3 linked regions of the Struthio camelus genome follow. The protein of the gene in region 1 purifies or fractionates together with the protein of each later gene. This does not show direct contact. Links are inferred from orthologs where the notes say so. Each region holds a gene or a part of one and is shown on either strand. Other genes may lie near its edges. The genes, in order: ARRDC1, HECW2 and ZMYM2.

Region 1 (9,993 bases):
TTGCCCTTGGCACAGCAAGCCCTGCATCCTCCAGGCATGCCTGTCCATGGGCTGAGCGGCAGTTTGGCTCCGTCTTGCTGGCTGCTCTGGTGTGTGCTGAGAGATGTTGTCTGCATTTCCTTGGGAACAGTCTCTTGGTAGTGGGAGCAGTGAGAGAGGCTGCTGAAACATGTTTCTCCATGCTGGGGATCAGTTTTTGGCCTGGACACATAGAGTGAGTGGTGAGGAACAGGAAAATGAAGCGCTTCTCTTGGCAGAGCGAGGGGAGACACGTGCACTGAGAAAGGGAGGAGGATTTTCCATCTGTCTGTGAAGCTCAGCCAGGCCTGGAAGAAGGAGCACAGGGGCTTTGGGGTGCCCTGACCCCTGAGCTCTCTATCTGGGGTGCTGATGTGCTCCCTGGTGCCTGATCACTTCTCTTTCAGATACCACCTGCTGGGTTGCATGGAGGATTGGGGCAGGGTTTTTTGGTAATTTTGTCTCTGACATCTGTGGCAGGGTCCATCCCCCAGCTAGAAGTGGGACATCTGGCATGGGCTGCCTAAGCAAACTAATCCTAGCAGGGGCTGCTGAGAGGTGCAGAGATGGCCTGCTCCTGCAGGCTGCTGTGGCAGGCTGAGATATCACCACCGCTCCCTTCTGTCCCTGGCTATTTGCTGCTGCCTCAGTGCTGGAGGTCCTCATCTCTACTAGAGCCAGTGGGCAGCAACATGGGAGTGATCCTTGGCCATTTCTGGGTAAAATTCAGTGGATTTCAGTGAAAGTGCTGCAGCAGGTAAGATGCTGGACTTTGCTTGGAAGTGGCTGATGAGCAGTCCCATCTTTGACAGCTAGGCCATTGTGGGCAACCACTTCCAGCAGGACAGATGGTACCAAGTGTCAGGAGCAAGGGAACGGTTCAGAGCAGCCCAGGCTGAGGCTGTTGTGGGTTGCTTTCCCGGCTGGCTAAGCTGTACTCTCCTCAAAGAGGAAGCTGCTGCTGGGGAAAAGGAAAGAGAAGGATTAGGGCAGTGAGGGAAAATGAGACATGAGGGCTCTGCTCAACATGAACATGCAGGTATGGAGCTACCCTGCTCATGCTGCACTGCATTTCCCCACAGAAGCCCTGTAGGCTCCCCCAAGCCTTCACCTCAGCCTGCTCATGCCTGTTAAACAGCATCTGCTGCCTTTCCCTAGGATCGTGGGGACCCTGAGCTCAGAGTAAAAGTAGCTTTACAGTGAGGGAGCAGTGCAAAATGCTGCAGTGGTGCTGGGGGAGCTGGAGTCCAGCCCTTTTTTCCTTCTTTTTAATTTGGCCCTTTTTCGGGCAAGGCCTCTCTGGAATCACCGAGAGAGCGAGTAAATCATCCTGCTCCCAGAGCCCGTGGGCGAACACAAATAAACTGCCGTCCCTCTGCCGGCGCTGAGATGCTGAACTTCATGGGAAAGGGAGGACAGATTTCCCACCAGCAGTTCTTCCTCTCCAGTCTCACCCTGAGCAAGAGTCTTGCAGTGAAGGCAGAGGTCAGGAATCCAGCCAGCTAGATTAGAGTGATGATAATAGTAATTAGTGCCTTGCCTCTCTCTAAGGATTTTCCAGTGAGGATGGCCAGGTGCAGTATGGGCATTATCCAATTAAAGCAGCAGCACCCCCGTAAGTGGGACGGGTGCCAACGGTGGAATGGGATTGCAGCAGTTCAGCTGGGGGCTTGCTTTCCGTGGGCTGATTCTGCTCGGGGATAAAATTACAAGGGAGGAACTGGCTTGGGAGGGGTGTCCCTGAAGTCGCCCTCTTCCCACAGGGGCGAGGGTTCATCTGAGCGGGAAGAAGCAGGTCAGGAGCAGCTGGTGTGTTACCTGTGGGTGTTCATCTCTTCCCTAGCTAACAGAAAGCGGTGAGTTTACAGTGGGAATGCTTTGCTGTCACCGCACCCGATGCGTGTGTGCTACGGGGCCCGCACTTAGCTCTGTGTGTGCGTTTGGGGTCGTAACGGCTAGTGCATCATCTCCTGTATGTGCACGTGCCCACGCGTAGGAGGCTGTTCCTGCACACATTTCCATAAACACACAAATGCCAGTATGTGGGCTTGGATAGATACAAGGCAGCATAATAACACGAAGGCTGGATAAAATGCTTCATGGGGAGAGACTTGAAGAGCTCAAATTGTTTAGTTTATCAAGAAAATTGAGAGGTGTCTTCATTTCGGTGTGTAAGTACTGTCACGAGGAGAAATTGCTTGGTGCTAAAGGGCTCTTTAATGTCAGAAAGGCAATAACAAAAACCAGTGGCTGAAACTGAAATTTGACAAAGTTGGACTAAAAAGCAGGCGTGCATGTTAGTGGTGAAAAGGATGTGCCATTGAAACAAACTGCCGAGGGACACTGTAGATATTTATATGTATATATATACATATATCTATATTTATAAAAATTTTCCCCCTTGGTAAAGGGCAGCCTTGTCTCTTATCTCCCCGGTAGAGATACCTCGGCCAAATTATACTTCAGTCAACCACACAGGATAAGGTTAAATAGATGGTGTTTATTACGCTATCATGCAAGCACCTTAGATGGTTTTTTTAAAACCCTTGAATGAGACCTGGGACACTGTCTTGGGATACAGAGTCCTGAAGCATCCACATGGTGGCAGAGGGACAGCACCTGAAGCTGTGGCCTGGGACAGTGTCTGTGCATAGTCTGAGAGCCGGTGCCCCCCTACTCCAGCATGCAGGTGACTGTTTCTGATCACTTAATGCTCTCTTTTGTCTTCAACCACAGAAGTGGCTCTGCAGTGCTGCTGTTGGGCACCTGAGTCTGCCCACGAGCCCTGATGCTCTCCCTGGGCACATGAGGAAGATGCAAACGCAGCTCAGCAAACGCAGAGCTCAGGGACATGGAGACCCCAGAGCTTTGAACACCACTGGTGTAAGGCGTAGTTTGAATGCCACCAAGTATCCTTGGACAAGCTGTCTGCAAGCTGCCTTGGGGGCCCATAGAGTGGATGGGGGACCTTGGCTGTGACCTCCTGCCGGAGGAGAGTGAGGGGTGTGGAGGACAGCTCAGCAGAGCAAGTGCCACGTGAACCCTGGTCCTGATCAAAGGTGCCAGCCCTGTACAAATGAGTCATATCTATTGCTGCTATTATCAGACGGTATGGTCAACTGGTGGGGGAAATCCACTGAGAAGTGGTGAGGTACTGAGCCAAGCAAGTCAAGTGATACACAAAAGGTTATAAACCTAAGTATGGTCTCGGTATTACCTAGTTTATATCCATCCATCCATACATATGTATGGATAGAAAATGTAGCTATGTGTTACTAGTGCTACATAGTATAAATATATCAGCAGTGAGCCCCTCCCGGGCTCTCTTTGGATGTGTGTATTTTAATTTGAGGGAAGCTTAAGATATTTAAGGGCCAAAGTCATTTTAACTTTCTGGGTTTTGCCTCTGCTATTACCTCTCCTCCTCAGTCCCAGGGCCTCCAGGGCCTGGTGTAGTGGGAGCTTCGCTCCATCACCACATTGTAACAGAGGGACTAGGAAGCATGAGAGGCCAAGAGTGTACCTGGGGTGCAGGGCAGTATCCTGTGAAGACTGCTGTCTCCCCAACACCCACATACCCCTGAAGCTAGGGAGCAAGTGGAAACGATCCTGCCAATTGCCCCGGAGATAACATGCTGCTGCCTCACCCAGAAGTGCTCACGTAATCGAGCTGCCTAGCAGTCGCTGCTTCGTTGGCACAGGCATTTCCCCGAGCCGCTCCCCGAGGACTCCTGGGTTCCTCGCAGGGTTCAGCCCCTGCCAGGTGGAGATCGTCGCCGCCAGGGGAAACTGAGGCACAGTCAGGTGGGTCTGTGCCTTGTCCGTGTCTCAGGGCGCAGCTGGAGGACAACATCTGGAAGCCCAAAAGAGGAACAAATTCAAGTCACAGGAAAATGCCTGACAACCAGGGAGCCTTCTGCCTCGTGTGCTGCTCACACACACAAAATAGCACAAGACTTTGCAGTTGCAGCTTGATCCCTTGGTGTGTTTTGCCCAAGTCGGGGAATACCCACAGCTGTTCCCCAGCGCCTGCTGTAGAAGCTGGTCTTGTGCTGTGAGGGCAGCACGGCTCAGGTGCCAGTGGGGTTTTTTAAACGGTGTTTCTATAACAAGTGCTTTCTTTGGAGGAAAAAAAAAAATCCTGTTCCTTAAAGTTAGTGAAGTTTGACATCCCAAAGGAAAATTTTGTTCTCAAACTGGGGTCAAGTTTTATTTTTTCTTTTTAAATTTCCCTTTCCTTAATGAGGAAAAACAGGAAGGGAGAAGAGACTGAGGAAGTGAAAGCTCCCACCATCAGAACAAAACATCCAAAACAATTTTTTTAATGAAATGCCGATTCAAAATAGCAGAAAAGTGACTCTTTGACGGCTTACCTTATCCTTCGCTTTTTTCCCCCACCCACTCTGAATCTCGGTGCCCATGATTCTGTGTGCCGTTAGATAACAGGGGTGATTCCAGGGCGCGTACAGATGAGCAGGGAGGTAGGAACGTAAATCACCGTTTGACTATGATGAGTAAAACCTTCCTCAACAGCCCACTGCCAAGATATGTACAGGTAGGTGCACTGGCATTGCAGGGATCAAACAGATTGAATTATGCCCACCTATTTATATCCTATGAAGTGCAGAGCACAGCGTAGCAGTGGTGTAAGGAGCGGATCAGCGCTGTGGCGTTGCTGCTGGCTATGTCACGAAAACAGCTCTTCTATTTCCGTAGAAAGGCATCCACTGCTTGTCTTGCAGCACTGAGGCTGTGCCACTGAGAGCACATACCAGCGGCCAGCAGCAGGATGCCTTTGTTCAGCTCCTGGCTTAGGAATCCCTTTTATTCATGCTATGACCTTGGGTGAGCAACTTCACCACGTTTAAGCCTACTTTTCCGCCAGTAAGGAGCAGAAACCTTTCTGCTTGAGGAGAGCTGCAGTGCGGTGTGAGGGGCTCAGCTTTGGCAAAGGATTTCATGACCCCCGAGTTGTCACATGTGGGCGCTCGGTGGCACTGCTCCCGTGCCCCGTGGTGCAAGTGCCGGTTAGTCCGCGCTGCTCCAGCGATGGGGCAGAGAGGACCCGTGGGTGCAGCAGCTCCCATCGGACGGCCGGTCAGTGGGAAGAACTGTGGGTCCGGAGCCACTTTCTGGGGGGGAAGCAGAGATGGGGCAACCTGCCGTGGTCACAGGGGGCTCTTGCTCCCCTCTTGCTTTTTGCTGGCAACGCCAGGCCGGAGAAGCTGAAGGGGGGCTGGGCCGGAGAGACGGAGGAAAGGGGCTGTAGGCCCATATCACAAACAGATTAGACGAATGTGGCTTGCGCAGCCTGCCAAAACAAAAGCCAGGGTCAGGACAAGGAGAGTGGTGTGTAGGTGGATCCGAGGATGTCTCGCCTGCTGGGCAAGATGAGCTGCTTGAAATGCAAGTGTTGGTACAAAAACGTAGGGGTGTTGGTTAGCTGTGACTACACTTGGACCGGAAATTAGAGGTCGGTTTCTGAACGCTGGAGCCCTGGCGGAGCCCGCTCGCGGGAGCCGCTCTGGGCCGGGAACGCGCAAGCTACTCTTCACACGGAGCTTGGGTCTCTCACGAGGGGTTTCGGCTTGCGACGCCGGCGATCCCTGCGGCCCCTGCTCCCGGGGGGCTGGCGTCCCCGCGCGGCCGCCTCAGCAGCCCTCATTGTGCCCGTGTACGCGGGCTGCTTGTCGCCAGCCGGGAGGTGCCTTTCCCCGGTGCCACGGCCCGTGCTCGCTTGTAAAAATAAAAGAAGGGCGAAGCGGCGTTGGGCAGGCTTTCTTATCGCCGCATCACGTGGCAGTGCAAAAGGAGGGGGCGCAGAAAGGCTGGAGGGAAGCCTGTTGCTCGCCCCCCCCCCCCCGCGGGGCTGCCCCAGCCCTGCAGCGGGGGAAGGAGCCGGGGGGGCCGCTGGGCTCCGCAGAGCGGGGGGGCTGGGGGGGGCGGGGCCGCGGGGCGGGGCGGGGCCGGCGGGGGGCGGGGCCGGAGCGGCGGGGGCGGGGGCGGCAGCAGGTAGCGCTGCGTGCGCGGGGGGCCCGGGCAGGCGGACGGCGCGGTGCAGCGCGGCGCGGCCATGGGGAAGGTGCAGCTCTTCGAGATCCGTCTGAGCGAGAGCCGGGTCGTCTACAGCCCCGGCGAGCCGCTGGCCGGCACCGTCACCGTGCGCCTCTCCGGCTCGCTGCAGTACCGAGGTGAGCTCGCCGCGTCCCTCCCCGGGGTGAGGGGGGGTTGGGGGGGGCTGCCGGCCCCTTTCCCCCTCGCCCCCCCGGGGGCTGGCGCTGGCTGCCTGCGCGCCCCTCCGCGGGCGGCCGCGGAAGCGGGTCCCCCCCCCCCTTCGCCCCCCGACGTGTGCCCTGCGGCCGGCAGCCGAGGTCTGGCCCGAGCCCGGCTCGCCCGAGGGGGGCGGAGGCGCCGGCAGGCCTGAGCCCCGGGCGGCGGGGCGGCCGGAGCGGGGCCCGCTGCCCTGCCGGGGGCGGGCCTGGGGCTCGCCGCCCTGCGCCGGGTGGGCTGCGGGCCCGGCCCCGCTTCCCCTTCTGCCCCTCGCGAGGTCGCGGGAGAGGAGAGGCAGCGGAGAGACGTGCAGGTGCTGTGAGCAACCTGCCGGATTATTTCTTCCTCTGCTTCCTGTTCCCCCCCCGCACCCCTTCCCCGTGAAGCCAGACAGCACAGACTTGTTTCGCAGAAGCGTCCAAACCCGACTTGCGTGCCGGTCTCGAGCGGGATGGTCAAGGGAGGCGACGAGCTGCGTAGCTGCCGGGCACGGACCGGAGCGCGGCGGCGCGGCGTGGCCCCCCTCGCCGCCTCGAGCCTCTCCGCGAGTTGTCCCTGGGCCGTGGCAGCTCCTTGACAAAGGGCCCTTGTGCGCCCGGGTCTGCCGCAGTGCCGAAACGTGTATTTTTATAAAGATCCTGGACGGCGGCTGACTAAAGCTGCGGGGAGGCTCGGGGCCCGTCGCTCCTCAGGCTGCTGCCAGGGATTTTTGGGAAGGGAGCGCCGAGGAGGCTCGGAGGAAGTATGCGACGTGGTGGCCAAGCTGGCCGCTGCCCCTGGTGCAGAAAGAGCCCCCACGCAGAGGGGACACCTGTCCGTCAGCAAGCGCAGCTCGCTAGCATCTATCGCTAGCAGCAGTTGCGTAACGTCTTAAAGGACCTTGAATGTTTTGAGTTGTGAAACTACTGGTTAAGTGGGAGATCTCTAGTCTGAGCACGCAGCCCCCATCAGTGTTGAGAGGGTTTGTAGCACAAGTGGCTCCGAGCAGGCATAAAACCTTCGTACTGCTGCTCTTTCAGCTGCGTCCGTGGCCCAAGCGGTATCTGGAGTATGTGGGCTGCTGTGGTTCGGTGGGAGATGCAGGCCCTGTTGGTGGCTGTTGCAGTCTGTCAGGAGATGGCAGCGTGAATGAACGAGGATGGCCTCAGGGGAGGGCGGCTGCTTGTTTAAGATCCATACTGGGAAGAGGAGGATGATCGGGTGGGCCACCGGGCATTGCAGGCTCTAAATTCCCTCTGCTCCGCCATGAGCTCTCAGATGAGCCAGCTAGTTAGGTTGTCACTCCTGTGCGTCCTAGCTTCCCCCACCCTAGAGAAGGCTTTCACGCTTACAGGTTCGTTTTGTGCTCAGCGCTGTGGAAATGTGGACTTATTTCTTGGTTTCACTGAGGTTATCTCCTTGCTTCTCCTATACGAACACTTTGTCCTCTGTAACCAATTATTGGGGGAAAAACGGCCATAGAACTTAAAATGCAAAGTCTCTTGAACACAGACATTGGCCTGGATGATGGTGCCTGTGGCAGCTGGGGCTGGGATGTTCTTGCTTTTGTGAACACCTCTCCCAGTTTTCTGCAGTAGCTTTTGGAAGCTTCCTCAGGAACAAAAATATCTAGAACAAGTGCAGACTTGTAGGCTGTTTAACTCCTGTTGCGGCAAAGCAGTTGCATATCCAGAGCATTTATCTCCTTGGAGGATACTTAACAGCAGTATTTTTTCCAGCAAAAAACCTCTTAGACAAAGTGCTTGCTGACTGCCATCCTCCTTTGTCTTAGCCTGTCCCCTCCACCTCTATTCCTGAAGGGGTCTCTTGGGCGAGAGGGAAGTGTTTGGCCTTGCAAGGCTCAGTTGTGCTAGTCCCTCACGTTGCCAGCTGGTTGGGGCTAGCTCTGGTGACACCTTGCTGGTGCCTCTGGGGAGCCCGTGGGCTCTCAGGTTCTCTTACGTGCCGGGTTTTCCTCTTTTGCCTCCCGGTGTGCTGCAGGGGAAGGAGGAGAGTGTCTTTGTCTGGACCTTCGTTCTGAAGATGTTCCTTATTGCTTTGACTCTGGGAAACTTTAAGGTCTGGCATAAGAATTGGTTCTCGAGCCAGGAGAGGTTTTGCTATTGGATCTTTGTGTATAATACTAATGCAGTAATTTCGGTAACAAGCTGGGGCAGTTGAGCAGGGCTTTAGGAAAGCTGGCTGAGGTCCTGGGGCTGGCAGCAGCATCTAGGCAAATCTGAGGTGGGCTGTGTGCGGCTGTTCCTTCTCCTTCTGTGCAGAGGTGATGTGAGCTTGCTACTTTGGGCTGAGGTCCCTGCAAATTGGCTTTGCCAGCAGGGATAGAAGGGGACTTAGGAGAAAGTTATGGATGGTGCTAGCTTGCCACAACGGGTGCCTGACTCTGCCCAAATAAGCAGTGTTCTTCAAGGTGTGTTTTTTACGGACATTGTTACCACAAGGTGACTCTTTGCTATGTGTCCTTCATGCTGCGTCATGTCTTACGGCCGCTGGTGTCTCGCCAACCCTCAGCAGTAGGGCTGGGGATCTCTCTCAGGTGGGCACCCTTTCCTTCTGTCCGGCTAAAGGAAATGTCCCTCCTTCACAAAAAAGAGGAGGAAGCTCATATATCTGCTGAAACATCCTTCTTTGTGTGACAGCAGGCAACTACCTGCTGCAAAGAGGTCTTAAGACTGGGCTCCTTTGAGGACCTAGCAGTAGTCAGCCCTATTCAACTTCACAGGTCCAGCAGCGAGGGATCAGGCATCCTTTATCATGCTGTAGCTTTCTTCTGGGGCGAGGGGAGAGCTGGGTTGGAGGCCTCGAAGCTGCGTCGGCTTGAGTACTACCCCTTCTGTGACCAGCTATGACTTCTCAGACTAATAAATATCTTAAAGGAAGAGACCGGAAATACTTACCCTATGACAGGTCTGGCGCACAGCACCAAAGTAGTTCCCAAACTGGACCAGTCTGGTGTGGTTGCTTGTCTCACTATTGTGATTCTTGAGATCCAAAATCTAGCACAAATGCAAATGAGGCTGTAGATTACTTCACAGGGTGACTTGCTTTATGGCTCTCAGAAACTGCACCTATCACGAGGTGAACAATAGAGGCAAACAAGGTTCATTCTGTATTGCTAAACGTGCTAGAAATCTCAGGTCATAGAAAAACATAACTCGAGACATGCCTTTTGGGATCATAAATGCTCTCATCTACCTTAGCTTCCTTGCCGGCCCTGCCAACTAGCAATAATGGCTGTTTGGTAACATATAGTCCTTGGCTGACCATGCAGCGGCGTCATAAATGATGACTCACCTTTCGTAAACCATACAGACCTTCCTGAGCCATGTGAGAGGAGGTGCGTTCCTCCCCGCGCCTGTGCCAGGATGAAGGTCCTTCTCCGCAAACTTTGAGGCCTCGGGGGAGAACGCTAATGGAAATGCAGAGCTCCTAATTGTTGTGCCTGACTTACTGGGTAAATCATCAAACACGTGTGTACAAAGAATAATTAATCTAACAGGAAGCTGGCGCTGGGCCAGCTGGATATGGCGTTAATCTGGGGGGAGGGAGGAGAAGTTAGTTCAGAACGTGGAAGCCAGCCTCGGTCGCTGGCAGGAGCGCGCTACAAAGGCGTGCTGGAACAAAGGCTCGCGCCGCTCGCCTAAGCCGGAGTGCTTTCCTCTGGACTCGAAAGCTTGCGGGAGCAATGCAGATCACTTCAGTCCT
Region 2 (10,277 bases), on another chromosome or scaffold:
AGAATCTGGTAAGTTTAAAAAAAAAAAAAAAAAAAAAAACTTACTTGCAATACTACTACAGAATTTATCCATACCTTTAATTTGGAATGCTTTTTCAAACAAGTTATAGCCTAAAACTTTGTCATCATGCAATGCCCATTTCATTGTTTTACTTCATGCAGAGGCTGGAGGATACACAGGACAGAGTTCACAGTACAAATGTTTCTTGGGTCATGTGCCTCTGTGTGCGATTTATTATGGCATGCTCTGTATTCACAGTCAAGCTTACCTGGTTGTAGCTTGTTTAATGATGCTCGTGGGAATGTAACGGGGGGGGGGGGAGGGAGAGAGAAGAGTGAACGCAGCACCTTTCTCAAGCCTCTGTCTCAGAAACCAGAGTTGAGTTGTAACCAACCGCACATGGGAACAGATAGCAGGGCAGGAAAGGCTTGAAATCTAATTCTGGCAGAGCTTTCACAAACCACCGAGAGTAAAATGGGAATACTTAAATTGATGCCACCCTTACCTATCATCTAATCTCGTAGCAATAGGAGACTATATTAATGGAATTAATAACATTGTCAGCCAGCTACTATGTGTATATTGTCAAATTACTTTTTGAATCATGATAATTTTATTAGCTATTTATAGCCAAGGAAATATTTTTACATTAAAGCATATCAAAGAGTGCTCACAAAAGTATATTAGTTGTCTTAAAACCGGAATCATGGATTTTTAATTGTGCTTACCTGATACCAGCATTGACAACTGTAGAAAGTTGGTCTCCACCCACGTGCACTGAAGGCAACAGACTGACATTAACCAAACAAAATCATACTGCATAGAAAGTTTGCTTTTTTTAATACACTAAATGTTACTATAATAGAACGTGTGCCTAACAAGAGGCGTTGCAACTACTAAGGATTTGCTGGGGAACCACTAGCAGTGTAGATGAGTCTCAACCATTGATCCTGCAGATGGCAGCAAAGTGATAAACCAGTGCAACCTTTTTCAAATTACAATGTTTAAAGAATAACATGAGCTTGTCTATTTGTGTTGTACTTTTGATCTTTTGAATGAGTTTTATACAGTGTTCCCTCACCCTCAAAGTTTTTGGAAAGAAAGGGCTTGCTTTGGGGCTTTCAAACGAATATGGGCTTCTAATTCATACTGTTCCACACAAGTCCTAGTCCTAATCAGTATAATTCTATAATTGGGCTAGTTATGGTCATCTTCGTACAAAGATAACTCAAAAGTTTTTCTTCTTACTGCAAGGTCAGAGTTGAAGACCACTGAGTGACGCCCTCCCTCCCCCCAGCTGTCACTCCTGTAATTTGACGGTACCCATAAGTAAGTGGGCTATAATCAAGTTTTGTGAGAGTCTACCGAGCAAATGTATTTTTCTGTAGGCGGTGACGGTCTTCCTTTAGAACTGGGCATCCCCCAATAGAAACACTAAATCCTGGAGCTTCCAGACTCCTTTGTTACCGTGTAGTATAATTTACTGCAACAGGACAGACTATAGCGGAAGCACCTACCGTAGTATTTTAGCTGATATCAGACATGCATTTCTGAAGTTTCCAGCCTGCTGCCACTCACCCTGCTGTGGCTCACGTTACAGAGCAGGCTCTGAGCACACAAACTAGTTTCCTTTCAGACGAAACCAAACTGGAAGACAGCTTCCAGAAGTGCTATGGTCGCTAGTGAGCATTCAGTAGGCAAGCTGAGATTAGTGTATATCCGAAGTAAAAACCAATCCAAAACATGTAGCACAGGTGGACCAGCTGTTTCAGTCTACACGTGACTCAGTGTGCTGCATTACTTGCTGATGCAGACATAGCCAAAAGCTTAGTGCAGCGCTAAAACGAGGAGGTACTGTCATGCAGTAATAGGTTACAATTAATTACGCTGTATCTTTTCCCACCCTAAACCCCAAACAAATACGTTTAAAAAAAGAAGCAACAGGATATATTGCATGTGGAGGAGAATGTCTCTACCTACGCAAATATAAAAACAAGGTTAACCACAGACACATAATCAGACTTTGTATTTAAATATACAAAGTACCTGTAGCTACGCTGCCCTTCCACCAGCATTCATCATTCTAGACCAAGGGAGGAGTCAAGACCCATCCCAATATATCTACGTACACACACACACACACACACACACATATATATATATATATATACACACACATACATGTATGTGGTATGCTGGTAACAGCTCCTGCCAAGGGAAGCCAGAGAGAGGGGTGGCTGGTGCTGGCTCCCTGGCAACGTGCAGTTCAGACAAGTATCATTGCAGTGTCTTGTCCTCCTGCGTAGGCAACCATCGTAGTGGTTTGTCCTACTAGGCAACCTACTTAAGCATTCAATAAATATTAATTCATGAGATTCATTCATTTAAAAAAAAAAAAAGTGTTAACGCTTCTATTCTAGAAGAGTTTTTTCCAGCTGTGGCTGACTGCTCTGCAGTCTGAGTTAATACACGCAAAGCTAGATTACAGTTTGGACTGCTCGTTGCCTGAGGGCACTATGGAGTTAAAGATGCACAGATTAAGTTAAGCCAAATCAGATTTAAGGAGCAGTTGCTGCACACAGGCCGGTTTATCTCTGAAGGAGCTGGCTCCACTAGGACTAACCTACAGTCACATTACATCAGCCTGTTTTTTAAGCAGCAACAACAATTCAATGATGAGCAGGTAAATGAAAGATGTGTGTTAGCCTTAAGTCTGTTTAGTAGGCCCTTGTTCATTAGCATGTCCGTTTCCTTCAAGAAGGAGAGGGTCACGTCTCTAAAAGTTAGTCCAGACTACTGTCATACAGTTTAGGACCACATTTCTGGAGGACTGGAATGACTTAATTCAGTGCGTTTCAGGCTCCAGAGCTAAGCGAGCCTTCCCTCCCCACTACACAAACATTCTAAACAACATATATAGTTTCCCCAGCAATAAATGGTATCATGGCTCACAGAGGAGTCGGCAAATAGCACTGTAAAACAAACCAGAATGCAATGCAGCAACACCTGTACTGAAGCAAAGTTGTTTTGGAAGCTCCAGAAGGAAAAGCAAGCCATGAAGACGCTGAGCTGATTGGTAGTAGAACAAGAATGAAAACTGTTTGTGTTATAATCAATCATCACCTTCAACTTACTATGACCTAAGCCATCTGCTGCAATGACGCCTTCCCCAGAGTTATATTCCACAGTGGGATAAACTGAATAAATTCCACTAATTCTTATGAGTCTTATGTAGATAACAGGATGTGTGGTACAGTGTCACAAACCTAATGAATTCCTTATATGCTCCTAAAATTAGCCTGAGGCCTGTGTTTTCTCATGACCCAGACATCAGCTATCATTAGAAGCAGCCAGTCCTGCCAGGTCTTCCCTGTCCTGATCACGTCAGCATCCAGCCACAGGCGTATGACTCTGCCTTCAGTAATTCACCTGAATCCTCTGCAAACCAGTCCGAGATCTGTTTTGATAGCACCTGCCAAGGCTCATTCTAAAGCTGCTAAAAGAAAAGTGATGAACACAAAGACTTAGCAGTCAGCAGCGTATAGTCTATAGGAATGATACATACAGAAGAATAATTTCTTTGCTATAAATAGTGGCTTTGTTAATATCAGCTTCATGATACAAAGTATGCTAGTTGCAAAAGACAATCCTATTAGAAAGCTTATCTCACACACACAGAGATCCCTGCAATGTCGGACAGGTGAGAGGGAAGAATTAATTCAAATCAGAGCACACAATATAAATCAGCATTGCTAGGTCCCCTACACACAGTGTCCTGTCAGCCAGCTGGTCACTACACCTTTTATTTGCAAGGTCTTCTTAGTGATAGAGATCTATCACAGTTTGAGTAAGGCCCCTGTTTCATACCCCGTTAAAAAGTCTTCTCCATCAGCATGCAGCTCCCTGTGGCTGAGGACACTCCCAACACCTGGGTGCTAGCAGGGAGTCTCTGGCAGTAGGTGATGCTCTCCCTGTGCTGCTGCTGCTGCTGCTGCTGTGGCACCCCCAGGTAGCCCTGGGCCAGGAATCACCTGTCAGGTGAGCTCACTTCCTGCCCAGGTCACCCGGGCCTTCCTGGCGGTGAGCTGGAGGGGCTGGGTCCTTGCCTGGCCACCCAGGAAGGGTTGGGCAGGGAGCTCTGGTTGCTTTTTCTCCTGTGAAAAGATACAGTATTTCATGGAGTTGATCTACTGCTTGGAGAATCTTTGTGACTATCAAAGAAGAGATTAAAGTTTTAGCAGCTTAATATATACATCTCTCTCTGAAAGGCTGATCAGAAAGCTACGTGAGAACTGCCAGTTATGGGAAAGGCTGTGGAATCTACGCAAACAAGGTAAGCATAGCTTTTAAAAGAATACCTGTAAGAGTTTGGAGGAGGGGGAGGATAAACACTGAAACAGAGGAGGTGAATGCAGGGAAGAAAACAGGCCAGCTATTAGCTTTCATACCAGTATTTGGGTTATGACTTTCAGCAAAACATGAAATGTGCAATAGAACTTAGCTAAGTATAGAAACAGTCCCTTGAAGCTATCTTGTACCCATAGTGTTCTTTGCTGGTTAAATAAGTACCTTGGCAAAAGATGAGAAAACAAATTAAACTGAAAAAGGAACAGGGGTCCCTCTTTCCCACTGTGTAAGGAGTTGTGAAAGAAGTTTAACAAGCTGAATTCCTGACTTCCCAGTGCTTGCCCCAGCTTATTTGTTTTTCTCCCCTTTTAAAGAGGATGTGCTTGCTTTCTTTACCTCCCTTCTAGAGCCACTCTCTTCCGTGTCCTTTGCCTGGTGGTTTTTTATAAGTTCTGGCTGCAGGCTGTCAAACTTAGACTTGAACCAGCGGTGAGCTTCCTCCAGGTTAACTGTGATCTAGGGAAGGCAGTGGTAATTAGAGCTGCAGAGCAAGTGGTTAATGTGGGCCGAGTTCCAGCTTTTGGGCCCTGTGCTGGAAGGGGGAAAAAAAAAAGAGTACGCCAAAGTCTCCTCGAATTCTCTCCTGTACGTGGGGGCAGGAACTCAAGAGTTCTCTCCCTCTGCATTGCTGTGGAGAGGTGGTAACAGCTGGGCACATGCTACAAAATTGTTTCTTATGAAAATATTATTGGCAGTAGTCCACAGAGTTCTCTCTCGACACAGCCCAAAACACAGAGGCATTGGGGAGTAGAGGGAAAAATGGAGGCTGAATACCACAAACTCCTAAGAAAGATGTGGGAAGACTAATAACTTTGCTTGAAGACTGACATGCTGTAGAAATACGTATATGTTACTTTCTTGCTATTAAGGTCTTTTTCTAATAAATGATCAAGTACTTGAACGGATAAGTAGCAATGTAAGACCTCAAGCTGGGGCACCTCTGTTATTTATTTCTTTACTTTATGCTGGTTAACACCCTATTAAAAATATCTCAAAAAGTAGATTCTCATACCAGACTACTATAGTGATACATGTCAATTACGTTTATTTGGATATTACTGTACAATAGTGCAAGGATGAGGTGCAGCATGGACAAATGTGACCTCTCGGGGCAGGGGGGGTGGGAAATGTGGTTTGGATCGATGTCGAATAAAGAGCAATGTAATAGCGGTTTGGGGGGAAATTACTTGGCCACAACTAAGTGGGGTGTGTGTTTTTTTTTTTTTTTTTCTGTTAAGATAGAAATCTATTGATCCTGACAAAAACAGTAAGCTGTGGGGAGAAAAGCTTTCTTACAAACTCCAATAAGTTAAAATATCTCATGCAAGAGATTGAAATTTAACTGAAAAAAATGAAGAATGCTAAAAACCAGTTTGTTACTTTTGAGCTGAAAAGATCAAGGATGCACCTCACTCTTCACCAGAGAATGAGATTCAAAGGTTCACACAATGCATACCTTGAAATGGTATTTTGTTACTGCCAATGAATTATAATTCTCAGGCTAAATAGTCTCACCTGTTCTGATTCTATCCTGGCTTCCTTCAGTTTCTGTTCTGTTTCTTCTTTACACTTCTTCAGCTGTTTGACTGTTTCTTCCAATCTCTAGGCAGAAAAAGAATAGTCATTTCTCAATTTTTTTTTTCATGGCACAAAGACAAAAATTGGCAATATTAACAGAATGACTCTTCCATTTTTAACTGTAAAATGCTTAAGAGTTTTATTGACAAAGACTGTAGAAGTAATTTTTCATATGTCAGATATATAGTGTTAATCCATACTGAACGCAAGATAAGTTGCTCCTTGGGCTTTCTGGGGCAGATACAGTAAGATTTGTAGGAGTATCTTTTGACATGAGATTCATGAAGTCTTTGTACCATCCCTTCTAGAACCCTACAGATGTTGTATAAAATGGTTCCACTGGTTTCTCACCACGCTTTCATAGTGTGATCATCTTACCTGACACTTGTTTTCCAGCTGCTGCCCTTGCCTTCTCTCCACTTCCAGCTGGGTCTCTAGCTGCCTGTTCTGTGTTTGTACTTCATGTTGGTTTTTCAACAACTCTTGCATCTCAGTCTGCAAACTTGTTAACTCTTTCACAAATTTCTGGATATTCTGTGACTGGTAACAACACAAGAATGAAATTTCAACAACCTGTTTTCATCAGATCAGCCTTTTTAGGAAGCTAGTCAAGAGAACACACCTGTTCATAATTCTTCTTCTGATACTGCTCTTTTATTGCTTCCATTTCCCTCAATTCAGATTCAATCTCCTGGAAAATTTTGAAAGAAAAACAAAACTTCAGGAATTTCTCAGGCTCCTCTGCAGTAATAGGTGCCATGTAACAGGCAGCGTTCGCCCACTGTCTCCTTATTTCCTATCCTGCAAGACTGAAGTTAGGAGAAGCCAGGCCCCAGTGGGGAAAAGGGAACAAGCAGGCAGCAGAGTTGCAAAGGACCCTGGATTCCCATTTGGGATCGGGTACCAGTGCTACCATATGGTCCATCGGTATGAAGGATGGAAAGGGACTAACCGCTGCACAAAGTAACCTTTGGCACCGATCACTGCTTTATCATTTTGTGGATACAGTCTGCTTAAGTGGACAAAAGGCTAATAGGAAAATACAGGGAGGAGATGGGACTCTGGCATCCTATTTAATGTAGGAAGAAAACGCAGGAAAGGCCATGCAATAGCAGCTATAGCTGCTATTGGTCTTCTGTTAGGCATCTGAGTTCAGAGTTAGTTTTGTTTATTGTCCAGCCTAGCTCTGCTACAAAGGGACAACAGTAGTCCTACTTAGTAGGAGGAAAAGGAGTTCTCAGGTAGGATGTCTGTCTCCACTGAAAAACATGCACGCACCTTTATCCTCTCTGTGTTCTGAGCGTTGCTAGCTTTAGAGGCCAGGCAATGTCTGACTTGAGCTCTCTGGCTTTTCAGCTTTTCCTTGTAGCTAGCCAAAGACTTCTCCAGCTCTGTTACTCTCTGCCGTAGCTCCCTGTTAGCACGTGAAACTTCACCCAGTTTGGAGGATGCTTCTTCAAGGGCCTTTTTGAGCTAGGGGACAGAGAAAAAGTGAGTTCACATCAATTGTGAAGATCAGTTCATTTCCTACAACCATTAATAGGGAGAATGCCCCAACGATTCCCTGTGTCTGGAGTATGCTATAGCACCTGGTGATCCAATTTTTTAAAATATCTTTGTAATAAAGGAATGAAAGGTGAATGCTGGGTCTGAGTAATGTTAAGGTCAAGCTGAGCTTTATGCTCCAGCCCCCAAAAAGCAAAGACTATTTCTGCCCTTTCACAACAGTATTTCCTCCCTGGAGGTTTCCATATAATGTCAGATTTTCCTTTTGAATTCATTGGAATGACTGATATCAATGCCTAAGTCTTATGTATGATGGGGTATACAGTGGTACTTGCAATGTACAGTCACCAAAACCTGTCTACCACAAAACAAAATTCTATTTGGTGCAAACAGGTGATGGACAACTCCATGATGATGGGAAAAGAGACAACTATTTGTCATGAATTGCTTTTTTGCAGTTTGAAAACTTGACATTGTAAAGCGGAGCTCTTTCTCTGGAAACCACTCACTGAAATCTTTTAATTCTATCCTTTTTTCACCTCAGCAGATTCCCGCTGGGCAGCTTTTCTAGAAGCCTGTTGCTCAATGTGAAACTGCTTCTTCAAAGCCTCTAAGCGTTCGGCATACATCTTTTCCTCAGTCTGGGCTTCTTCCATTAGCTGTTTCCTTTTAAGGGAAGAAGCAAAATTGGTCATTCACATATACATTTAATATGCTTTATTTTTTGAACAGAAAATTCCATTATAAATATTTCTTTTGTCTTGGGTATACTCTTAGCAACACTAATGCTTAAGGATTTGATTTTGTAAATGTATATATACTTCATCTCTGCTCTGTTTGCAAGGAGGTTCCAAACAACTGTACAAGGAAAAAAAGATGGGTTTTTTTTTTTTTTGAACTTTAGGTCTACTTACTTTCCTTCAGAGAAGTAGGTGGCCAAGCCTCTTTAGACCAAGGATATTGAGGTGATTCACAGTGCACCAACACTTACTGTTAACTACTTTTAAATCTTATTTATTGGGGTTTAGTTTGGGGTGGAGGATTTAAACAGCTGTCCTCTGTGTGGGTCGCTTGTAGGTCACTTCAAAGTGCAAGTGATACCTGCTATGTCTGCTGAAAAAGTGCTATAATGACCCTAGGCAAGCAGTTCCTCAGAGGAGGAAGGCAGAGGAGGCTGAAGAAGCCATTATACGAATGGGCAAATCAGCTCATTCATGTAGCTCTGCGTAAGTCTATCTTTACCATGCTGCTGGTTCAGCATGTGGTCAGTGCTGATACTGATAGATGACAAAAGGCATAAAGCTCTGATGTTAGTGAAAAGTTATGTTTCTCCTCAGCTTTAATATCTTGGATCTGTTCTTACCTGCAGACTACCAGCTGTTGATGCTCAGCTTCTTTGCTTTTCAGGTCATACTGACTCTGAATCAGCTTGTTCTGCAAGGTATTGTTGGCCTGCAGAGCTTGTTCCAAACGAAGAGCAAGTTTCTTGTTGTCTGTTCTAGTAACTTCTAGTGCTTTACAAAGTGGTTCCACCTGGGCAGTAACAAGAGATCAGATTTAGGCTTACTCAAACGAAAAAGCATAAACAGGAACATTGTTCCCTTCCCAGTTGGTGTCAGCTTACTGGGAGTATGAGTCTGTTCACCCACTGCCTGATGACAAACATCCTTTCAAGCACAGGCATCTAGATGTGATTCCCTACAAAGCCAATCCACAGACTGGCTTAGTCAGGAGGATCAGAATGAAAAACATGACTGTCTTGGAAAAAATGCCCCTTGCCAATAGTGAGTGTGTTTAGGTTGTGAGACATTGATTTTTAAACTATGTATTTTAAAGGAGGGAGGAAGAAAGCAACTCTCTGGCCCTTTCCCCCACCCTCCTTTTCCCCCCCTCTCTCTTTCTCTCTCTTTTTTTTTTTTTTTTTTTAATTTTTAAAGCTACATACATTTCAGAAATCTCTGTCCCTATCCAGCTGCAGACAGTAAAACCTTTATCTGTGCCAAGGAGTCTTACTTTAGAAAGATTTGTACTTGTTCTTTATCTTGATCTTTAATTACTTCCTTCAAAACCTGGAAAATGGTTTTCCTGCTCCGCAGCCTAAAGCTGATAGAATATTTTGCCTCCATTCACGTGAATGTATCACACCACACTGTTTCCCCCCCCTTCCCCCCCAAAAAGTGGGGGGAGGGCAATTGACTCAACCCTGAAGACGCAGTCCTGCCTATTTCTATGGCAAATCATGGCCTCTACCTGGCTGCTGTGCTGGCTTCCCATGGCAACCGCTCTGGCTTGGCAATGTTCCAATTCTGTTTCTAACCTCTGTATTTTCTGTTGACTCTGGCTCCTGAAAATGGAAATAGGGCAAACAAACAATGTATCGTCTCTGTGCACCTCTCCTCTGACGTGGTGGCAATCTCAGTTAGGTTCTCTGCTTTCACCATGTTAAGTTTTGCCTGTCACTGGCATTAAAATTAAGTTTATTCTCACCTGCTTCCCGCAAGATGCATGAGACCTGACCAAGCAGAATAGTTACAAGCACAGTTTTTCGCAGAGCTAGCCATGAGCATTTGGTACGCTTGGTTCACTGGTACTAAATATGTTTCAATGTTGCAGGAAAGGATATAGGAATTTTTCAAACAACCTTGTCCTAAAGAGTTTACTGGACAGCGCTGTGGAAGAGATGCCACTTCTCAACTGTATCTGCCTGTCTTCATCACACTAATTATACCACAGAAAGAATTATCAGCTTTACTTACCTGTCTTTTCTGAGACTGCTGATTTCGGTG
Region 3 (10,140 bases), on another chromosome or scaffold:
CTAACGTAGACTAAACAAACTGCCATAATACAAAATGCAAAGCCATACACCTGGTGGCCAACAAAAATTCTGTTTTTTAACTAGGAACTTCCCAATAAATGACTGGGGTAGAAAACAACACAGGTACTACCAGAATTGATGGTGGTTATCTAATGTAACTGTGCAAAAAAGCAAGTGCACACCTAAGATTGTGGTATTTCCTGGAGATACAGAAATATTAATGTACTATACAATGTTCTGCTTTGATTTAAAACTGAATATTATAGGCATTTGAACCCATATTCGAGAGATGAACTCAGACTGGGAGAAATGGAGATAAAGACTAGCAGAATGATCAGAACAAAACTTCTAAATCTCCAGGGCAAATTGGAAGAGAATGATCAGGGGAATGAAGATTTGTTGTGCAAGAAGAGACTAAAAGATCCTTGTTTAGTATAGCAAAAGGAAGGCTGAAAGGGAATATGACTACCGGCTATAAATATATCGGGGGTAAACACCAGGGAGGGAGAAGAGCTGTTTAAGCCAAAGAACAAATACTAGTACACAAACAAAAGGGTTCTTGAAAAAATGTAGTCTAGAAATGAGAAGAAGGTTTCTAACCACCAGAACAGTGAAGTTCTGGAACAGATTTGCAACAGGAGTAGGGAGTAAACATATCAAACTACCATTAAGATGGAGCTTGAAAAGTTTCTAGAAGGGATTATATGACATAGTTTCCTGTAATAGCAAGGAACTGGACGCTGACCTAGGAAGTCTCTTCCAATCTTAAGGTCCTCTATTCCGTTTTGCACTGTCATTTCTTCTCCATAAAGACAGGAAATTTATACCACTAAATCCCTCAAATGTTTAAAAAATAATAATAAATTCTATACAAGTAAAAATAATTGTGATTATTGTAAAACTCACTAAAAGTGATTTAAGAATAACACTTTATTGGATAAGTATTATAATCTTAGACTTTACTGTGTTAGAACGTCTTCTAAGGAGAGGTTGCCTGGTGTAGAGCACTACTTGTTCTTACTTTTTCAAAATCGAAATATGGAATGTGGCATAAAGGTCATTTCAAGGCATATTATACTATGCAATGAACAGTAATCTTATACTACCCATTGTACAGTGTATATAGTCTCATTATTTCAGCCTTGGAAAGATCACTTTTGGTTAAATAAGATAGCTGCAAATTAAACAGCTGCATGCAATTTATTTTTAGATACATATTGATTTGTTTATAAATATTATGAAAAGTAGATGTAGCTCAAAAACCATAATGAAAACCACAGGTAATGTTTTGCAGAAAGCAATTTTTTTCAATTCTGTATAGTATGGGGTCTGTTACGTACTATACAAACATATACGCGCGTATGGTCCCTTTTCCTTGAGAGCTCTAGTTTAAAGAACAGCTGAAATGCCTAATGAAATTCAACAATGAGAAAACCAAGAGAGGGAATATTATAGAATAAAACAAACTGATGAGGGTGTTACTGACCACAGGTGTTTAAAATCCTAAGGTTCTATTTTCATGTTTTTTCCTTCCACTACTATTTCTTGAAGTTGTGTTGGGAAACCAAGTAGCAGACCAGAAGTCCATTATGCCATGTCCATACAAATATGACAAAGAGACAGTCGTACATGTTCCACAGACAAATAAACTTTTTCCATATCTTCCTTCTCCCTAACGGAGAACAAAAATGTCAAGGAGGATCGAGGCTACATTGAGGCAGACAAATGAGGTAAAGGATAGCAAAAGAAAGAGAAACGTTGGCAGAAATTGAAGAGGAAAACATAGGGAAAAGAAAGAGGATAAATAAAACTGTATAAGGCAGAGAGAAAAAGGATTGTGGAGAAGGACAGGACAGAAGTCAGCAATGACATAATAGACAGAAATTTGGGGGTCACATATTTTACAAAGGATTAGACTCTCTTTTCACTTCCACATGTGGTAGAAACAGACATTTTGATAAACATATGTTTTATTCGCATGCCAAACATAAATTTTTCCAAGCCAGCCTTCAAATCAGTTGTAATAAATGGTGTTTTTTTAAAGAGTGTCATGAAGCACTACTTTCCAAATGTCACATATATAAAGTACTGAAAGACATCTTGTTCAAGAATTTCCTCCTCATTCTTCAGAAGTCACAGCTCTAGACACTGCAAAAGATTCTACTTTCAGTTATACTGACAGAAACCTAACCAGTGTTCAGGCTGAGAAAAAGAGTTCTTCAGTAAATGGAATATGCTTACTTCTAAGTCTGGAACAAATTCCACTACTCTTTGTCACAGATAAATATCGATGATAGCAGGAGGTATCTTTAAGTTATGAACATTCCAATCCTACAATTTACTATGCGTCATTCTAAGGCTGGTTTGGTGGTGTCCTCAAGATCCTTGCTAAAACATAAATTCTCTAAAATTTATCAAATATCAAATTACTCCTTCTCTTTTCAAATTCTGTTGACTGCTTTTGGACACAATTTTACTCCATAACACATAGAAAGGTGTCACTCTTCATGTACATCTTTGATCATTCTGTTGGTTCAGCTTTATTGAATTTATCTACTGCCAGGCAGTAAGTTAGAACTCGCATAGTGAAGTTGCTGACATCAGGCCTGTCTATGAAAGTAGTGGTGTGGAGATTATAAATACATCAGTTTCAGGCCTGTGGAGTTCATGAAGAGGATTTCACTACTTCATGTTTAGGCTAATGTTAGCTCTTTCAAACCATGAAACAGAATTATCGATCGATTTGGATCATTTAAAAAAAAAATCAAATTTTACAGATGAAGAAGAACTTACTATTTCCCTCACTTTCTACTGCTGACAGTTGAAAAGTTAATTGAAAAATATGTGGTGTAATCCATTATTTTTGTCTGTGCTTGAATATATGAATTCAAGAATAGGGTTATGCGTCTATAGACGGACTAGAGTTAACTAGGATTACAGCATTTCATATAAAACTACATTTCAGTATAGTTCCAACATTGCAAGGTAAGCATTAACACATCTGTTCAAACTATACGTTCTAAAATGTGAATGAAAAAGAGTCTACGTTGCTATTTAACAGTCCTGCGTAGCAGTTAGGTAATGTCTATTGCTAGGGCAGTGGTAAAAGCAAGGTGCTCCGTGGTTTTTGGTTTTTTTTTGAATGACTAAGTAAGAATTATAGGTTTCACCAACATGCTCTAATTCAGACAAGCAGTCATTTTCTACAATCCACTTCTGTTAATCAAAGCTCTCAAAACCAGCTGCTTAAGTCTTCTTGAATTTTCTGCTGAACTTCACCGGAACTTAAATGTTTACCTATAAGCACTATTCAAGAACAAAGATATTTTCCTGAGACATGTTAACTGGAAAGGTAGAAAAATATGTAGAATGTGGAGGATGACCTAAAATCGCCTTGACGTTTATCAACCTGGAAGACATTCAAGCTAATAAAGGAAATGGTCAAGAACCAGCTGACCTGATAGAATATATAATATTTAATGTTGTAATTTGCACAGTTGTCTGCTTACCATCAATTTAGTTAGCAGGACACTGTTATATTGTAGAACAAAACTTATAAATCTCTAGGGCAAATTGGAAGAGACCTTCAAAATGGGTTAGGATTACTTTCATTAACATTTTCTTCCTTTGTAAGCGTTGTGGTAGAGCTGTTCCACCACCACCTCGCTGCTTTCTCTCAGGCATGAGCAACGGCCGCACGAGCACTGCTCCATACGCTGCCACAGCCACGAGGTAACTCTGTCCCCCCAACACCGCTAAGCTTCCTCACGCAGCTAGGAGGGTGTGAAAAAAATCATAAAGTCCCATCAACAACATCCAGTAATAGCATGTGGCAGAAGTGTTTGTCTTGAGCTGTTGACTGAAGTCTGTGTCTCAGGGTGGGGCTGTGAGGAAGCAATGAGATGTATTGTTGTGACAATAGAAGATACAAAATTTCTGGTGTCTCCCACACATGAAAACTGCCAACCAAACTCATCAAGGGTGGTAGAGGAAGAAGCCAGCCCTTCAGTGAGTTCTGCTCCGACTCAGAGCAATGCCCCCCCGCAGATTACCCCGGCTGATCCCACGGGGGTGGCCAGCACTGTGTGGGAGGCTCCCAGCAGCGGCATGGAAATGGCGCCAGCGGCTTGGACCCTGCTCCTTACACATGCAAAAGGCGCTCTCCAGGGGACACCGCACCGCGTGGTTGACATGAATTGGTACCGGCTAGAGAAGACAGGGCGGTACTTGCTCTCTCTTTCTCCCTCTTCTGGGCAGAGGAGGGTGAATAAATGGGGCAGAGCGGCTTTAGCTAGCAAGAGGGCAGGCTGAGCTTCCTAGGTCCTCGAGGAAGCAGGCGTGAGTGCCATGGCCAGAGCGAGGGGACGCAGCCGCGCAAGGCGAGTGCGCATCCTCCATTTTGGTGGAGGGCGGGCGCAGAGCTTGGCTCCCGGCGCCTCGCTCCCCTCGCCGCTCGGAGCACTCCTCCCCAGCCCGCGGCACTGCCAGGGGCGCCCTGCTCCTCTTCCCGCAGGGAGCGGGGCAGAGGCGCCTCAAATGGACGCCCTGCTGCGCCTCACGTTGGTTTGAATTGGTCCCAAGCTCCCCGCAGCGGCTTCCGACAAAATGGAGGACGTCACCACTGCTACCACCACCACCACCAGCAGCTCCTCCAGGAGCCATGTCGGCGGCTGACATGGCTCCCTTCCCCCACAGTGGGTGGGGGCAGGAGGGCGTCCAGAGCGAGGGCGGCGAGGAGGCTCTCCTCAGAGGGGCAGGCTGTAGGTGTGTGGGGGAAGCTCTCTCCCTGGGATACGTGCGCTCTCTCGCTTTCCTGTGTGGGAGTGCTGCCATTATTCACACTCTGTCCCTCATGGAAATGGCCCCAGGTTCACAGCCCTGCTGGGGGAGGAGTGGGGCGGGACCTTCAGAGAGCTATGGATGGGTCCTCCCAGCCCTACTTCTCGGCGATGGGGCGGCGGGGGGAGGCAAGAGGGAGAGATCAGCCCATGCCCCACGGCTGGGGCTGTTGTGTCCATAGGGACTAAGCGCAAGGCTGGGATGGGTAGTACAATCTCCTCCCCGGCAGATGGCTGGAGGAGCATAGCTAGGCTAGCACGGCAGCAGTGCAAACTTCTGCAAGTTGCTGCCGTCAAGCAGCTGTACTGGGCGCCCGAGCGCAGCCTCGCAGCCCTTAGACCCGGCTACAGAGCTGGTGGGCAACGATTCGGGTTTCTCAAACCTGATGGATCAAAGTGGTAAGAACTCCAGGCATGGCTAGGAGGAAGATTGACAGTTTATAGGGTCAACCGGCTGCGGGCAGCTCCGATGGATGGGCAGCCCACCCAATGAGCTAGCCGAGCGCGAAAGCCCGCCCTCTGGAGGAGCCAATGGTGGGGCAGGGAGGCGGATCTTCCCCAAGCTCGGTTGGCCCTGTTCCTCCTCCCCCTTCGCTAGCAGCTGCGCTTAGCCTGGGACTGGACCGAGTTAGAGTTGAGGCACTGGAGGAGTAACGCGGAGTCCGTGCGTCCCCCGCGGGGGGGGGGTTCCGTGCCGGAGAGCGGCGGGGAGCCGGGTAAGGTGGGGGTGCGGGGTGCTTGCGCCCTCGGGGGCGGGCTGGCGGGCGGCTAGCTGGAGGCGCAGAGCTGCCCCCGGGGCGGGGATGGGAGAGCAGCCGCCGTGCCTCAGAGCTACCCGGGCTAAGTACCCCGCTGTGTCGTCGCTGCCGCGCCGCCACCTCTGGCGGTGGCGACGGCGGCGCAGGGGGCGTCGGGCAACACCGGGGCCAGCCCCGCGGATAATCATCCCAGCCCGGAGGTGGGCGGCGGGGGTAAATCGGGGGCGTTCGGGGGCAGTGCTGAGGGGGGGCTGGGGCATTTGGGGGGAGGGCCGGGTCTGTTTTAGCGCCTCCTATTTTAACTCCCTGCCTCCTTTCCCCGCCGGGCCCGCGGCTGTTGTTCTGCCCCGGTGCCTTTCTCCCCCTTCCACCCACCTCCCTCGCCGCCCCCCGCTCCCCCCCCCCCCTGCGCGGGTGCCTCCCTCCCCTCCCCTGCCCGGCGCTGCGCTCCGCGGATCCTGCTGCCGGCGCTGCTCCCCTCCCGTATTGTTTGGCTGGGTCTCTCTCTAATGGCGGACAGGAGGCGGCAGTGCTGCTGGCCGACTGCAGGGGGGCAAACCCGAGACCAGGGGCAACTGCTGTGGGCGCGTGCGGGAGGCCGAGGCGGCCGCCGGGCGCCGCGGCGGCGCCGCTGAGGGGTCCGGGCCCCCCGCGCTCCCCGGGGCGCCGGTTCAGGGCTGCTTTCGGCAAGTTAGCAGATAATATTTCCTCCCCGCCCTGGGAGCCACCGCTGCCTTCGCAGCTGCGCCCCGGGCGGCTCCGGGTAACCGCTCCTTGGAGCGGGTAAGCTTGAGGAGTACCCCGCAACCCACCCGGGAGGGTAATTTATTTCTTATTTTGTATTTATTATTCGTTTGTTTGTTTGTTTGTTTTGTTAAGGCTTAGGATTAAAGGGAAGTGGTGGGTGATGCAGGCGGTACCTGCCCTGGCCAGGCGAAGGGAATCCTGCTTGGGGGCGCTGCTGGCTCCTCGGTGCCCCGTGTAACCCCCATGTCTTTCCCTTAGGCTCCAGCCCAGTTTGGTGCAGCCTTGGCAGAGACCAACAAGGAGAGGGAGCTCTATTGTGAGTGCTATTTATGTGTCTGTTCCTGCCTCAACTAGACCTGCTCAGGGATGGCTTGACACCCCCACGCTCCTTAGTCTTCGGGGGCTGGGGTAAAAGGAGGGGCCTCCAAGGCTGGGTGGGGAAATTCCTGGGTCCAGCAGCTGCCGCCCTGGGGCGAAGCCCCAGTAATGGCTGTGAGGCGGCTCCTCCTCGGGGTGGGCGCTGCTGCTGCAGACATCGCTCCTGCAATACCAACTCCGGCAAGCAGACGACGGGCTGCTGCTGCTGCTCACGTTACCCGGCTCAGGAGGGAGGGGGAGGGCATATTTCGGGTGCCCTCTAGAGTTCTAGAGCGTACATTAAAATCCATAACGAGACGGCTTTAGCCATCTTTATTTTTTTTCCCTCTTTCTCCAATTTTGTATTCCATGTATGTTGAAGCTAAGAAGGGGAATGGGAGGTTTAAAATAGCCCAGCAATTTGTGGAGCGTACTCTGGCCTTTGTGCACTTGGACCAGTTCTTTATAATTGTGGGTTTGCTTGGGCGATTTTGTTGGGTGCCTTTGCCTTTCTGTGTGCCTTGGCAGTACTTCCGAGGCATCTGCTTTGCCCCTTCCTCAAAACGCTGGAGGTCACTAGGGAAACCCACAGCTTTTTAGTAGCGATCCTTTTCGGTTTTTCATCTCTATGGGTTTTTCAAAGCAGATTGTGTTCTCTGTTGGGCTTTAGGTCAGCTAATTTCCAGTCTCTCTGTATAGGACTGGAGAGTAATTTGATGCTGGGTTGTGCCCCTTTAATAATGTTCTTTGCTGCACATAGTGGAAAACAAGGATTCCAAAATTAAGAAGTAGCGCAGTGAAGGTGAAAGTAACACGGTGTGTATAGACGTTTTAGGAGCTCGTCAGTTTGGATGTGATTGTTGTCTGCAAGCTCTCGTCACTAGAGGCCGCTGAAAAAAGCTTAGATAGCCCTGAGAGATCTGGTTAATAAACGTGCAGCACACAGAACAAAACAAAAAAGGAACGCGTACTTTGCACTCTAGGTTCTTGACTTGGGTAGAGGAATTGAGGTTTTTGTAATTTTCTCAACCACTTGCATCTTGAAATTGTTCTCCCCCCACCAACGTTCCACATAATAGATTTTCCAAACTTACATAGCTTGCAACTTTTGCTGCTTTTTGGTGGCTTACATATATACAGAATAAGTTATTCTCTGCATAACACCACTGCTTAGGAGGAGAGGCATGAGATTTGTATTCTAAACTTCTAAAATTACATGCCTTTCATGAGGTTGATAGAATTTGTATAGCTTGTTGTCATTAATAAAATGATCTGTTCTAATCTTTGACTTACTACTATATTTTTTAAAAATTTGATTGTAACTTCTTATATTTTATTGTGTCTTGGATGTAAGGCTACCAACTAATTTTACTTCTGGCTCATTATACATTCTAGCCTAACAGCTGTTCTCTCTTTTTTTTTTTTTTTTTTTAAACAGTAAGAAGTATCATTAAAAAAAAAAGTTATTTCTCTAGTAGCAGTGACCAAGGCAAATAACACTTTGGAAAGAGGAAGGTTGCTGTGATGGAAAGGAGTGAGAAAAGATCTCACTCTGTTGTGTGCTGATGTGAAAAAATTATTGCAACTCTGTGTGGCTGCTTATGAGAAGTTGAGAATATCACCAAGGGCAGCTGTATGGCTAAGATTTAGTAAACCTAGTTGAGTAGTTGCCAACTGGTTTGTGAACTATACATGTTTTTTGTACATCATCCTCCACCAACTGTGGTGGTAGTAGTCATACAGCCTTCCTTTCCACATGTGGCTTGAGGGAAAAAGTGTATCCTATGACACATGATAGGCTGCACAGTTCCATGAGGGAATGTGTGCCTACTGCTGCATGGTCATCTCTAGGAACCAAACTTCTCAGTTCTGATGATTCGTGAAATAAAGGTGATGATGGAACATTATATTTGGAGCAAATCAGTTTTCTTTTTATAAAAGACGGTCTTAAAGTATCTGCTAACTTTGATTTACATTATTGATAGTAATCCTCTTTCACTCCAGCTACCTGATTGCGTTTTACTGTTGCTTTGGAATAATATGCTAAGAGAGATTTGCATCAACTAGAACGTATAAATGCTAGTGAAAAAATGAAAGTGGGTTGCTCTGTCTTCTGCAGAGCTTGTGCAAGTGTGTGGAGGGCTATGGGACCAAAAGTGATGTAACTCGCTTCAGATTTCTGTTGGCTTTCTTTCCTTATCTCTTATTTTTTGTCTAGTACTGTCATGAACAGTCTCACATTGTTACAGTCACTTTCATTTTGGTTTCAAGCATTAAATAGAGAATTATTGAAGTTCCATCTGCGTGTGTGGCAGTTGGCAACCAATTAATATACTCGGCAACAAGAGCAGAATGAAAAGTTTTGTGAAGATGTTATATAAGGTATTATTACTAATGGAAAATCCGCTGTTCATGGAGAACAGTTATTTTGTTCCAAAAGAACCGTACATCACAAATAGCAATGAACTGCGCCTACCTGTGAAAGAGGATTAAGATTTGAAATTCAGAAGACTTGAAAAGACTGGACTAGTAAGCTGCCCCTTTTGAACAGTTTGAGATAATGTTTGCTGCATGATGCCCTTAAAACCCTGTATGCAGTACAGATTTTGTTGCCTACTAAAATTCAAGTTAGTTTAGTTGGTTTATCTCAAGAATTGAAAGCTTTTTTTTTTTTTGAACTTCTTCTAACATTAAGCTTAATTTTGTGCTTTTTGTGATGTAGTCCTGGTAGGCGTATGCTCCAGGAAGATATCTGGGTTTCTGAGGGATTAGATTTTGGAGAAAACTTATCTTCTCTTCCATGCTTGTAGTCTCTCTTACATGTTACTGAGAAATATTGCTGGCAGTAGAAGTTACCTTGGTATATGAATGATCTGCTGAGTTTAGATCATAGTATCAAAATTCTTCATTTTGGACCAAAATTTGTGGGTTTTGTCAGAGTCTGTTGTATTTCTGAGAGAAATCTTAAAAGGGAGTAGTGTGAGACTCTAGGAATACAGTGGTATGTTCTCTTCAGAGAACTATAGACATATGTAGACTATATAGATTTAAACACAACTTCCGTGGCCTTTATTAGATTTTTGGCAGTTTAAAGCTGCCAGAAACAATAAACTTTCAAGGCAAAACATTATTAACCCATGAAATTCTGTGCCACTAGAATTTAATGGGATTCACAAAAAATTGTACACCTGTAACTGGGGATGTTCTCATCCATACGTTAGATGGGATCAACTAAAATTAAACATTTCTGGTGTGCTTCGAGGCTTAAGCCAATCATTGACTGTCCGTTATAGCCTTGTTAGATCATAATTGTCCACTGAGTGCTCCATGGATTAGACATGTTGTGATTACTGTAGTTTACTTATTCCAGTATGCTCTCGGGACAAAGTTATTTCAATTAATGTTTATAATACAGACAATGAATTCAAATTTTACTAATC

The links.
Region 2: the proteins of ARRDC1 (region 1) and HECW2 purify together in Homo sapiens (affinity purification with mass spectrometry; 3 studies listed by BioGRID and IntAct, counting the BioPlex papers as one, with this or other methods). This does not show direct contact. The link is inferred for Struthio camelus from reciprocal best matches to the Homo sapiens genes ARRDC1 and HECW2.
Region 3: the proteins of ARRDC1 (region 1) and ZMYM2 purify together in Homo sapiens (affinity purification with mass spectrometry; 3 studies listed by BioGRID and IntAct, counting the BioPlex papers as one, with this or other methods). This does not show direct contact. The link is inferred for Struthio camelus from reciprocal best matches to the Homo sapiens genes ARRDC1 and ZMYM2.

What each region holds. Positions count from the first base shown.
Region 1 is NC_090961.1:11,558,290-11,568,282, reverse strand, and holds the start of ARRDC1 (arrestin domain-containing protein 1), read left to right. Parts: upstream 1-6,010; 5' UTR 6,011-6,091; coding exon 6,092-6,209; intron 6,210-9,993. UniProt on the Homo sapiens protein: Functions as an adapter recruiting ubiquitin-protein ligases to their specific substrates. Through an ubiquitination-dependent mechanism plays for instance a role in the incorporation of SLC11A2 into extracellular vesicles.
Region 2 is NC_090947.1:12,095,672-12,105,948, forward strand, and holds the start of HECW2 (E3 ubiquitin-protein ligase HECW2), read left to right. Parts: upstream 1-4,289; 5' UTR 4,290-4,333; intron 4,334-4,743; coding exon of another isoform or gene 4,744-4,863; intron 4,864-5,922; coding exon of another isoform or gene 5,923-6,009; intron 6,010-6,363; coding exon of another isoform or gene 6,364-6,525; intron 6,526-6,607; coding exon of another isoform or gene 6,608-6,676; intron 6,677-7,263; coding exon of another isoform or gene 7,264-7,458; intron 7,459-8,030; coding exon of another isoform or gene 8,031-8,157; intron 8,158-8,854; coding exon of another isoform or gene 8,855-9,024; intron 9,025-9,741; coding exon of another isoform or gene 9,742-9,835; intron 9,836-10,247; coding exon of another isoform or gene 10,248-10,277. Other genes in the region: CCDC150 (coiled-coil domain-containing protein 150), read right to left, coding at 4,035-4,154, 4,744-4,863, 5,923-6,009, 6,364-6,525, 6,608-6,676, 7,264-7,458, 8,031-8,157, 8,855-9,024 and 2 more. UniProt on the Homo sapiens protein: E3 ubiquitin-protein ligase that mediates ubiquitination of TP73. Acts to stabilize TP73 and enhance activation of transcription by TP73. Involved in the regulation of mitotic metaphase/anaphase transition.
Region 3 is NC_090942.1:204,117,054-204,127,193, reverse strand, and holds the start of ZMYM2 (zinc finger MYM-type protein 2), read left to right. Parts: upstream 1-5,398; 5' UTR 5,399-5,554; exon of another isoform or gene 5,555-5,796; intron 5,797-6,030; exon of another isoform or gene 6,031-6,416; intron 6,417-6,601; 5' UTR 6,602-6,659; intron 6,660-10,140. UniProt on the Homo sapiens protein: Involved in the negative regulation of transcription.